2 linked regions of the Arabidopsis thaliana genome follow. The protein of the gene in region 2 purifies or fractionates together with the protein of the main gene of each other region. This does not show direct contact. Each region holds a gene or a part of one and is shown on either strand. Other genes may lie near its edges.

Region 1 (4,731 bases), on a different chromosome or scaffold from region 2:
AGCACCTCGCCGTTTCGGTACGACTCTTGCAAGAAATACTTGGCAGAGTCGGATTACGACGAACTGTGGGTGGTCCTAAAGAAGCTGGAGCTTAACGACGATTGTGATTTCGAAACCTCTTTCGAGATTTACGAATTCAATCGCGAGACTAACGAATGGACAAAGGTGATGAGCTTGAGAGGAAAAGCTTTGTTCTTGAGCCCTCAAGGTAGATGTATAGCTGTTTTAGCAGGTGAGAGAGGATTTTTCAAAGACAACTCAGTTTATTTCATTGATGGTGATGATCCAAGTGTAGGAGGATCAGGGCCTCAGAATCTGAGCGTTTTTGAATGGGAGAGTAAGCAAATCATGAAAATTTACCAGCCAAGATCTTGGAATTGTCAGATGTTTTGGGTCACACCAACAGACGTTCCTCAGTGATGAATGACTGATGCATTGTAGAATTTGTAGTTTGCATAGTATAGGTTTTGTATTTCAAATTTCAATTCTTTGATACATTACAATTGTCATCATACATTTTGGTTCTTCATCTGTAACATATATATTAAGTTATGATTATTTCAGCATCTATCTTTCTCTCACTACTTTCATTAATCAAATTGAAAGGTAACTTTTTTGAGAATCAACTTTCACATTCTCAATCTTGAAACATTGGCCACAAAAAAAAAAAAAAACCGATAGATTTGAGATTGACAGAATGAGAGCAAAACATACACAAGTATCCAGTGTATACAAAAAACATAAAGAGGCACCAAACACACTGATACCAACATTTCTTATCAAGCGTCTAGGACTAGTTTACTTCCTGGACACCTTTAGAGAGAACTTAAACATAAGCCGCCTACAATATCCAAGCGGATCTTATCGAACTGACGGTAGAAGAGCTTACCATCTTATGAAAGTACTCTCAAGACATGTTGGATGAATCTGTTGCAGGACTCGAATGACTGACAACGAGAGGCGGGCGCAAAGCTTTGTGGTTGGCTTCTGCTTCTTTACGAGCATTGTACATTTCTTCTGTTTCAACAACAACCATCCTTTTAACCTACATAGAGGCAAAACCAACCATCACAATTTTGAAATCTAGGATTTTATGACAAATGAGAATAGATAAAAAGATAAAGGAAGAGAACCTGATCAATCATTCCCCTAATGGATGAATTGTTTGAATGCAAAACAGTACGATGACATCTACGAAGTCCCATAGCTTCAAGTGTTCGTCTGTGAAGCTTCCTTGTTCCAGGGAGACCTCTTACTAAGGTTATGTACAAGCTCTGGCTCCATTCAATAGGCACTTGTGCTTTGAAAGCTCTAAAACCACTCATTCTTTTTTTTTTTTGTCTCCTTTATCACTCAATCTCTCTGTAACCATTAACAAAATCATAATCAAGCAATCACACAGAATTCACCGTAGAAATCAATAGATACAATAAACGAAGACGATTGATAACATGAATCATGAGAGAGTGAATCATCACGAATTGAAACCAAATCAGATCGATCAATTCAGAAGAAAAGAGGAGCTGCATAACGCGAGATTTCAATTAGGTGTTTGAGATAGAAATGGATGGTTTTCGAGTACCTTGAGGAAACAGAGACGGGAGAAGTCCGGTGAAAGAGATCGTCGACGAGTGTAGTCAAGACGGCGAACAGAGCTCGGAAAATCTTTGAGATTCGCGTTTAAGGGTTTTAAGCTTTTAGCGGAACAATGGTTAAACGACAGCGTTTTGTAGATTAGCTTAATTATTTGGGCTTTATCTGGGCCCAATTATTGGCTCCTTTACCTTTTTATAATTTGTTCAAAAATTACTAGATTGGTTTCATTTTTTTTACATCAATCTTTAGATTTATTAATCTTGCAAAAACAATTTATTTCAGAAAGTGTATGATGAACAGTCAAATTCCACTGCTCTCATCACTAGTTCTAACCTCTAAATTGGTAAAAGCTATTTGCTAGGTAGGTGTATTATTTAAGGTTTTTCTACCTTCTATAAGTTCAATAGCTTTAAATCTTGGGGTTGATCAATATTATTACTAATGAGTAATGATGCATTATTAAAAAGAGAAAATTATCAAAGTAAATTATATTTATACAAAAGTAGTAGCTAAATTACATAACTAAAAGAAATCGGTAAACTTACAAATATTGGTAGACAAGAAAAAGAGAGAAAAAGGGCAACCGTTCTTCTATCCATTACTCGATTTATTATACAAAGTACATGAAGCCTATAATATTACATACATGATACATGATGCATATTATTACATACTACTACTTTACAAGTGATATCTAACAAATGCACATACGTTATATTCCTTTAGCCGTGTTGATAGGCAAACCATCATCATCATCCTCAGGTCTCTTCTTATAATTATAGTCTTTCTTATCTAAAAACGCCTCTTTCACCTTCTCCACATCCGCCTCAGAATCACCGGAGACGTTTACCGCCACCGCAGCTCCGTCAAAAGCCTTCTCAACTGTTTGGCTAGCAACACCTTGTCTTGTGAACTCCTCCGCCGTCGAAGAAGCTCTTCCTTCTTCCCTCCCTCCACTCGCACTTCCTCTCTACATATTAAGAAAACATCTCCAAAAATCTTTGTATATATATATAGTTAATCTATTTCATGAAAACGTAGGAATATCAGAATATATACCTTGAGATAAAAAGAGTAAATACATGATGTTGTTATATTAGGCTTGGAGATTGATTTTGGGTTCACATAATTTCTCAACATTTTTTCTTCGGAGGTCTCTTATTTTTGCAGCTTAGATTAGATCAAGTACCATAGATGAATTTTCCTATAGCAGTTAATTGAGACTTTTGATGTCTCATCAACGGAGGTTATGATTATGATGCCACGTGTGTGTGATGCGCCGTCGTAGCCAAAAGATGACATGTTTCCCAGGGTTAGTCACGACGTCATGCAATTTCCTTTGTAGTTAAATCCAATATACGAAGATTTCTATTTCATATTCTACAGTTTCATACATAACTTTACATGATCGATTTGACAAAATCGATGTCCTAATGACATTAACTATAAGTCGAACCGCTGTCGTTTTTCTTGTGGATTTTATTGTGTACATGTATTGAATTCTTATAAACATTTTGATGAGAGAGATTGGGGGTTGGATCAGGATGAGATTATATCAATTATCATTATATAAATATATGTTTTTAATAATATCTTATGATCGAGAGTACATATAGAATAAGAGATCAATCAATTGATGACCGGACTGGAGATGGGAGAATTAGAATAATTGTTGCAGCAACAAAATATTTTAACAGCCCCGTGAATTTTAGCGCTTTCACAATACCCTCCGCCTCTCATCATGCATCTTGTATTGCATCCTATTGTGCTTTTACATCCTTCCGTACATTTATCTGAAATTAGTCCTATACGATTTTATAAATAAAAAATTCATCAACAAAAAATTTATAAGCAAAAATGGTCAGTTTAATATTGAAAACTGTAGTTTTTTAAGAACAATTTTTTTAAAAAAAATATATAATTTGTATAACAAATAAATGTGTTACCAGAAATCATAGGTATGGTGAGGAGAGCAAACACCATCAACGTAAGTAATCGATGAGATGCAACCATTTTGGTTGTTATTTGTTATTCTTTCAAGATGATTCTATACCTGCTTCTCAAAACCTATTAAAAGCGAATTTCAAAGTTATTGTTATAACAAAAACAAAAATCTAGTAACATATTCTAAATATTTTATATTATTTTTGACTTACCTTTTGTATTTGTAATATTTCAGTACTTATTGAGAATGATTTGTGGTGGTCTTGGATGTACATTTATATAGACATACGTATATACATATATATATATATATGTAAATAATAAATCTTCCATATTATTCAAGGATTTTTTCTTCTTTTTTATAGTCTTATTTGGGTCAGATAATAATTTTAGTCAAAATGTTTCATTATTTATTCTTATCTGTCATTGGGATTATATTTCATTCAAATTTAGTTTATTTTAATAGGTAAATAAATAAATTCGTAAGTTCATGAATTCTCTTAAAAACCCAACCGGTCTACCAATCTGGTTCGCGGTTAAATCCGGTTAATGACAATAAAAATAGTCAACGTACGTTTTGTCCCGTTGACTGACATCGTCTTCTTTGCTGCTTTAACCTCTAGGGTTCTACTATTGGCTCTTTAAACATTGTCGTGATGGAGTCGGACGTCGGAGATTCGTCGGAAATTGTTCGGTAATTGGAAGAGTTAAAAGCTCAAGAAGACAGAAATAGAGCACTTTATTTCGACCCTCGAAGCTAAGCTCCAGGATACGGTGGCAGTTGAACGGTACGACGACGTATACTTTGATTATGATCCATGTTGATCTCGTCATGATGATCATTTTGTCGAGATAGCCGGTAAAGTCTATAGTTCAGTGTTGTTGCCTATCCAAATTTTTGGTTATGATCCGATCAACAAACAGTCAATCAGTTTCAAGGTATCGTCGAGTATCAACTTACACATGCAAGATTTGTATCTACTTGCACAAATCATCTTGTTAGTATCAACTTCTCACAATACATAGAGATTGACAATAAGATATCCAGATTGTGTTGTATCCAGATTACACAAGATATCCTTTCTTCATCTTTTACTACAATCTCGAGAAAAATATTATCACAAAAGTAAGAGTTTAAGCACCAATATTATTTTAAGTGACAAATCCAAACTATGTAGAACATGTTAAACT
Region 2 (7,470 bases):
TTCTCCTTTTCCACGCTCTTTCCATCCTCCATCAAGATATTCGAACATGATCGAGTCAGCTGAGAAGGCAACTTTCTCATTCTCTTCACCTGTTTCTGTGGAAACCTCTTGCTTTGGCGGAAACCCACTACCTTCACTCTTCTTGATAATGGACGATCCAGTTGCACCGAATATAGAAGAGCTATTGCTGCTTGGAAGGCCAAAGCCAAAGAGAGACCCAGTACCAGTTGAACCATCCTGAGAAACCAAACCAAATGAGAACGAAGACCCTGAAGCCTCTGTACTGGCAAGTCCGGTGAATGCGTTTTTGTTACTTGAATGCTGTTGGAATGAGCTGAAAGCACCATTATCGCCATTCTTATCTGCTTCCTCAATTCCGTTGCCTTCTTTTTCTTTTTTCTCAGCCTGATCACCTCCTGAATCCTTCTCAAGAGGAAAATCAGTTTGGTCTGTTCCTTCAACAGCGTTGTTGCAAACGTTTGTGTCACATGAGACCATCTGAGCTACTTCTGTAGCCGCAACTTGGACATCAGCACTCTTTCCACAATGATTATCATCCTTATCTTTAGTCTTTTCAGTCTCTTCCCCAACAGCATCTTTGACATCAACCTTCTTACTGTCAACTTCATCGCCCTCCTCAATATCACTTGCTTTTTGATTGTCCTCAACTACTGCTTCAGCTGGAGCCAATTTTGACTCAGCCAGAGGTGCATTTGTTCCCACAGGGGTTGAAGCAGGTGCAGTCGTAGGGACCAACTGAATTCCAGCAAATGGATTGGATGCTGCAACTGGAGCAGCAGATGGCTCTTTGCGCTTAACTCTGACAATTCTTCTACTAGCCAAAACCTCATCACTGGCCTTCTTGAAAGTTCCACTCTCAAGTTCAGCTGAATCATCATCATCATCAAGACCTGGATTATCACGAGACAGCTGCTTCAAGGCACCTCTCTTTTTTGAAGGTTGCTGAACGTTTTCCGAGTCACCCATTTGAATTGTTATGAGAGAATGTCAACACACTTGTCAAATACCTAATAAAAAAACACAGACAAACAAAGAAAGTCCAATGAAACAATACCCTTCAAAGATAATAACAGATAAAAATCCAATTTTTGAAAACAGAGATAAAACATTACAATGCAAAACACCGTTCCAAAGGTAAAACACACACACCGGATCAGTTTGCAGCCACAGATGATGATGAGTAATGCCAAATCTAAGAAGACAAAAGCTTTAACATGACAATGCAATGGAAAGTGAAAACTACAGAGGCTGCTCGTTACCTTATGCAAATATCCAGAAAGCCTTAAAATGTATTCAAAGAAGACAGCTAATTATATGTTAACACTCCAAGGTAAGGAACAGAAGAAGTAGGGCTAAACTTAGATATAAGAAATGCAAATACAGTGACTTATAAATCTAAAACCAATGAAAAATTCAACATCAGTGACTTTGTTATTATCCTCAAATCTATAAACCTAGATGAAAAGAGATTTTAAATCGGAGGAAACAAAAACCCAAATTCGATTTTAGGAACCTATCAAATTTAAGAGAAACTCCTGTTAGCTGCAACAATCGAGTAAACCCCAAAGCATCTTCAGAAATTATTCGATGAGTGAAGAAAAAATCTGAAACTCGATCTCAACACGAGTTAAATACCAAAAACCCTAATCATCAAAGCAACTATCAAGAACCAAAATAAAAGAAATGACCGGAAACTATTTCCAGAACAAACAAGAGCATGACAAAACCCTAGAATCAAAGTAGCTAACCCTGAGACAAACCATTTCCGATAAACCCGATAATGAAGAAACCTAAGATTCGAAGAAAGTGACCGGTGACGAGAAAATGGCAAGGACTTACCGTAGCAGGAGCCGGAGCCGCAGCAGTAGCAGAGAGGGAAAAAACTAACGCCGGAGCCAAAGTGGTCAGAGACGAAGAGAGAAAGCAAAAGAGGTTTATAGAGGAAAAAACATCCAGCTCTGTATCTCTCTCTCTTTCTCAACTTTTTTATTTTTATCGACATTTGTGTGTGACTTCAATTATTTTATTTTATTATGCACAAAAGGTCACATTGAAAAATATGTTATTCGTGTTAATTATGTTTACAAGATTACAGTTTTCTTCGATTCATATAAATTGAAAAATGACTTTTCTTTTGGTTCCTGTCTCTGGCAACATATCTATTGAATGGAATAGTAACCAATTACCGATACAAACAAGTACCATAAAAGAGAAGCTCTCGTTACAGTTGCCGGAACAATGATACTTAGTGAGACGGTACCAACTCAGATGACCTGTGATTGCCTTTGGTACCTCTGCGGTTCCAGATTGGACTTGTCTCGATCAACTTGTGTGGTACCAGCTGTCTCTGCCGCTTGTTTAGCTTCTTAAAATTGTGAACTTTCAGCCTTGCAATCTCAGCTTCTTCCTCTGCAGTCGTCTCTCTGACTATGACTGTTAGACGACACCTGGGTATTGATATTATCCCGCTTCTTCCTTTTGCATGGTAAGCTACCTTCTTCCCAAAGAGTCCCTTCCCAACAAACGCTTCCGCTGCATCACACATATCAAAAGAACTTAGATGAATTATACATCCTTCTCTGACATATATCATGTTTCCTTCTTTAGTGTTGCAAAACAAGTCAGTCACAGATCCGGTAGATCAGTAGTATACATACCAACAAGGAGACGGTCAGGATCTAGTCCATGGTTATGAGTAGCATTTGCCCGCGCAGCATGTATAACCTACATTATGAGACCAAGTTGTATGCTAAGTATCATTAGATGAGGAAATGTATCAAATGCCTCGAGAGGAGAGTAGACCAGACACTCTAAAAGTGATTTGTTTCTGAACTCGAATCTCAGAGATTACCCGGTACACAGTTTGTGAAGCTCGTTTGACCGTGACCTGCAATTGCATCAAAGCATCTTCAACACGCATGCCACGGACTAGTGCTGCAACCAAGTTGACCTTCTTAGGACTCTGCAATAAGTAAGGTTTGGGCACATTATATAGCGCATATAACAAATCAAGATGTATACATATCATCTAAAATGTAAAACTGTACTAGGAGTTAGAGAGAACACACCTGCTTTATGGACTTGAGGACAGCCTGAACTTTCTGACGCTTTGGGATAATCTTCTGCTCTTCTTCTTTTCCACTACCCAGCAGAGCTGGAGATGACAAAGGTGATGATACAGGCTCCTCACCCGCCTGCAATTGTCTTGAGGTAGAAATTCCCTGAAAACATACAGATTTAGATCAGAGAAGAATGAAGCAGCATACCCATAGATAACATAGTTCTCCACAGATGAATGGTTTCAGGAGATGTGTCTTTTCGCATAATTCAGATAGATAACAGATGTAGTCATTCCACTAGCACATTTAATCACTTCCCCTATCCCACTAACAACAATTTTGCTATATTAAATTACTAAAGCAAATTTATCAAAGAGGAAACGAGAAACTCCAGTCTCAATAGAAAACAAAAGAAACATCGATTCAGAAGCATTACCAGTTGTTGTAGATGATAATACAGTGGTCTTGAGGAATAGGTTGATCTCAAGAGACTCTGCAAATAACCTAGTTCAACAGCAAAAATTGAAAAAAAAAAAAAATCATCACCCACTCAACTCAAACACACAAACACTATATTAAAACAAAAATCCAAGATAACACCTGACATTTTGAAATTTCACTAAGAACACAATAGATTCAGAAATGATTTAACATTATCTAAACCGAAATGATCAAAACTAAACAGCTTCAAATGGTATAATATTCACCACCTTGTGAGAAAGGGGATTCCAAATTCCGTGTGGAAGAGTAATTTGCCGTGGAAATGTGACTGTCCTTAACTCTTTTACCAACTTGACGAATAACAATCTGTAAATTCTTCTGCCAACCCGCCATTATATTCTACCCTAAACCTTAGTCTATGCTTCTTCTGCAGAAGATGGTAAAAAAACAATCTTGAACAAAATAAGTAGAGCTAAACTTAGATGTAAGACATGCATTAGAGACTTTACTAATAAGTAATGAAAAAATCAACATGAGTGGATCTACTATTCTAAATCTATGTATAAGATTCAGACAAAGGAGTTGCACGAAAGGGACCAATGCACTAGTGGAGTTGATTCAAATTCAAATTGATTCTAGCTTTCAACAATATAAGAACCGAGTAATCAAAGCAACGCACCCATTATTCGAAGAGATTTAAAATTCGATCACAACCCAAATGGGTCAAATACGAGTTAAATTCTAAAAACCCTAACCATCAAAACAAACTGTCAAGAATAAAATAAAGAAATGGCCGATAACTATTTCCACAACAAACAACACGACGAGAAGAAAAAAAAAAAAAAAATCAAAGTAACTGGGGATGAAGATAACCTAAGCTTAGACGAAAATGCCCGGCGAGGAGAAAATGGGAAAGACTTACCGCGAAGGAGCAGTAGCAGAGAAGCGGAAAAAAAAACTAACGCCCTGAGCCAGAGACGAAGAAGAGGTTTAATAGAAGAAGAGCGTCGACATACGTCTCTCAACATTTTATTTAACGAGTTCAGAATAATTTTGTCACATTTTAGTGAAAAAATACTCAACAATTACATATACTTTTAATTTTGTTTTATAAATTTATAATTAGTTACGAGATTATAGATTTCCTTAATTCACATTGTATACTTGAGACTTTTTATTAGACATAATCCTCGACCGAATTCAACAAATCATATTTAACTCAAAACATTCCTATGTTCAAAAATTTCAAGTGTTAGTAGAACATGAGAATAAATATATTTTTAGAGATCAAGTCTTCAAAAGAATTATATATGCAACGATGAAAAGTGAAAAAATCATGTTACAGGCCAGACAAAAGAAAAGGAAAAAAAAAAAACAATCTGATGAAATCTAAGTAGATATTTGTAGGAAAAAAAAAAAAAAAAAAACCATATGATAATAATAATAAACCTCCCTGTGAGTGCAAAAGACAAAAAGGAACGACCACACTTGCTTAAAAACTCATCAGCCTCTCTTTCATCTAAATCTTCCAGTCTCTCCAGCAAAGAACTGAGTCCTACTCGATTTTCATTTTCTTAAGAAATTCAAACTTTTATTACAAAATGGTTTCAAAATGTGGTTCCAGGCTGCTCGGATTTGACCTTTCAATCCTCAGTAAAAGAATGAAAGTTCTCTCACCTCTCTCCATTGTTGCTGGAACTTTCACCATTCCCATAAACTGTAAACTCTACTGACGCGGTGTAAGCACTGCAAAAAACAAAGAAAATCCACATAAGATAAAACAGCATCAGCAACCAATAAAACCCCGAGACACTGTTAGTTTATATAAGAAGATGAAGCATGTATACTCGGTTTTTAAAGCCTAACTCATGTCGCGAAAAAACAAAATTGGTGTTATGTTCCTAAGGGTTGCTATGAAATGCAATGACTTGAAACCAGACACACATCAACGGAAAAAGATGTTAGAAGGCGGCTTTTCGGGGAATCAAATTAATCACCAGAGACAAAATTTTCAGACTTTTCAACATTGGCCTTGACCGACTTGCTATTAGGCTGATGGGTTTCCTTCATTATTCGTACCCCACTCTTCGTCAGCCTCACTTCCATTAACAAGTACAGCTCCATCCGTAGAGTCTCCATCAACAATTCCCTCTTCTTCTTCTGCTTCTTTCTCTTCATGATGCTCCTCTACATGCTCCGCTACATCATCCTCATTCCTTTGTTCATTTCCATTTTCTTCTGCTACTACCTCCTGAGAAAAGAAAAAATAAATCAGTTGTTGCTTACTAAAACACGCAAGATAACTAACAATAGATGTAAATAACTCAGTCAATTGGAAAAGAAAATGGGTCACCTCGTGATCCATATCTCCATTTTCAAGTGATTCCTCTTCCTCAACTTGCAAGTTTCGGAAGGCTTCCACGAGGGTCATGGAAGATTTATCAGCATGGCTAGGATAATCTTTTGCACCTGTGTAAACTCCCCTGTAAATGGAGAACAGACAATTTTAAAGAGAGGTCTGAGAATGTCGCTATCTATAATCCGGAGTTATCACTACGTGGATGCAGTAGGTATTAACGATTCGCTGCTTGATTCAAAAACCATGGAAGAGAAAAGCACACTTGAGCAAAAAAAATGCAGCGATTACCTTGTCTCTACAGCTTTAGCTTCCACAGAAAGAGCAACTTGCCAATCTTCAAAAAGATTTGAGTACTCCTCAGGATCAGCCAAAGATTCTGCTGCTTTTGAATTAACCTGTATTCAAGTGCAAGGTAACTTAAACCCACAACTTGTCTCCTTGACCACATTACACTAAAACCTAAAAAGATTTGAAAGGAACCTTGCTGAGATCTTTCCTCCAAAGAGCTACTATCTCAGAAACTTTGCTCGGAAGATATGATCGTGCCATCAGAGCAGCTTCTGGTATCCGGTTACTGAGGAAAAAATATTGTCACACAGTTAACCAAAGGTGCATAAATTTGATTTTCCAAACTCTCAAGTGACTACTAATGAATTACCTCTCCACCAATAACTGCAAACAATCTTCCAGTTTACCCAGCATGAATAGGCAAAGAAAGGCGACATTGTTCTTCCCTTGTTCTTTAGCAAGTGTTGCAAGTTTTGTTACACCTTCAGCATCTCCCAGAGAAGAATAAAGAAGTAACAAACCACTCAAATCCATCGCATACTTCATGCATTCCTCAGCCATTTGCAGCTGTCATGATGACATAAAAACGGAAAGAGTTAGTTGGAAATCCCCACATCAAAGACAAATCCAGGAGACGAGAAACAGAGATTTTGCTGTTGCTCCCACATTTCTAAATAAATGTCAGAATCATAATGTAAATCATAAACCATTTAGTGGAAAGGTTATTTTGTGTCTCTTATCATTACAAAACATTAGGACGAAATACAAAGACAAATATATACCTTTCCGGAGGACATAGCTAACTCTCCTAATTGTTTCCACTTAGATTCGCTCTGTACTTCCACAGCGATTTCCTACAGGCATAAATTAAAAAACATGTTTAAATATTGCCACTATACAAGAAGTTAAAAAGTATCTTAGTCATCACACATTATATCACCTGTGCAATTTCAAGTCTACCCAGTTGTATGGCCAACTCAAATCTGTAGTCAGGATCTGTTGCAATTTCCAGAGCATCTTCAATCATTCCCCGTGACTCCAAGAAATGAGCAACACTAACAAGTCGAAAATTGTCCGAAAATAAATAAAGAGAGTTGTCCACGAAACACCCATTGATAGGTGTGCAACTATGTTAAACAATAGAGTCAGTAGATCTAGACACAGCATATTTGTAAGAGAAAATAATCATAATATTCCTTCCTAAAGAAATGAAAAACCTAAGACATATCACATAACAAGAGAAGTGCGATAAAGAATGAATCACAAGCACACACAGAAGTTAAGATCTAGCATACCTGTTAT

Evidence for each region.
Region 1: the proteins of AT1G52370 (region 2) and AT5G55140 fractionate together in Arabidopsis thaliana (co-fractionation; one large-scale study listed by BioGRID). This does not show direct contact.

Annotation. Positions count from the first base shown.
Region 1 is NC_003076.8:22,377,964-22,382,694, reverse strand, and holds AT5G55140 (ribosomal protein L30 family protein), read right to left. Parts: upstream 1,700-4,731; 5' UTR 1,583-1,699; intron 1,363-1,582; 5' UTR 1,326-1,362; coding exon 1,134-1,325; intron 1,046-1,133; coding exon 908-1,045; 3' UTR 501-907; downstream 1-500. Other genes in the region: AT5G55150 (F-box SKIP23-like protein (DUF295)), read left to right, coding at 1-420; AT5G55135 (uncharacterized protein), read right to left, coding at 2,309-2,566, 2,656-2,736; AT5G55132 (Defensin-like (DEFL) family protein), read right to left, coding at 3,226-3,401, 3,543-3,609.
Region 2 is NC_003070.9:19,503,496-19,510,965, reverse strand, and holds AT1G52370 (Ribosomal protein L22p/L17e family protein), read right to left. Parts: upstream 4,611-7,470; 5' UTR 4,395-4,610; exon of another isoform or gene 3,949-4,394; 5' UTR 3,915-3,948; coding exon 3,791-3,914; intron 3,585-3,790; coding exon 3,517-3,584; intron 3,243-3,516; coding exon 3,090-3,242; intron 2,984-3,089; coding exon 2,873-2,983; intron 2,746-2,872; coding exon 2,679-2,745; intron 2,554-2,678; coding exon 2,267-2,553; 3' UTR 2,032-2,266; downstream 1-2,031. Other genes in the region: AT1G52380 (NUP50 (Nucleoporin 50 kDa) protein), read right to left, coding at 1-987; AT1G52360 (Coatomer, beta' subunit), read right to left, coding at 5,569-5,772, 5,875-6,004, 6,169-6,275, 6,361-6,454, 6,539-6,735, 6,951-7,022, 7,109-7,223, 7,464-7,470.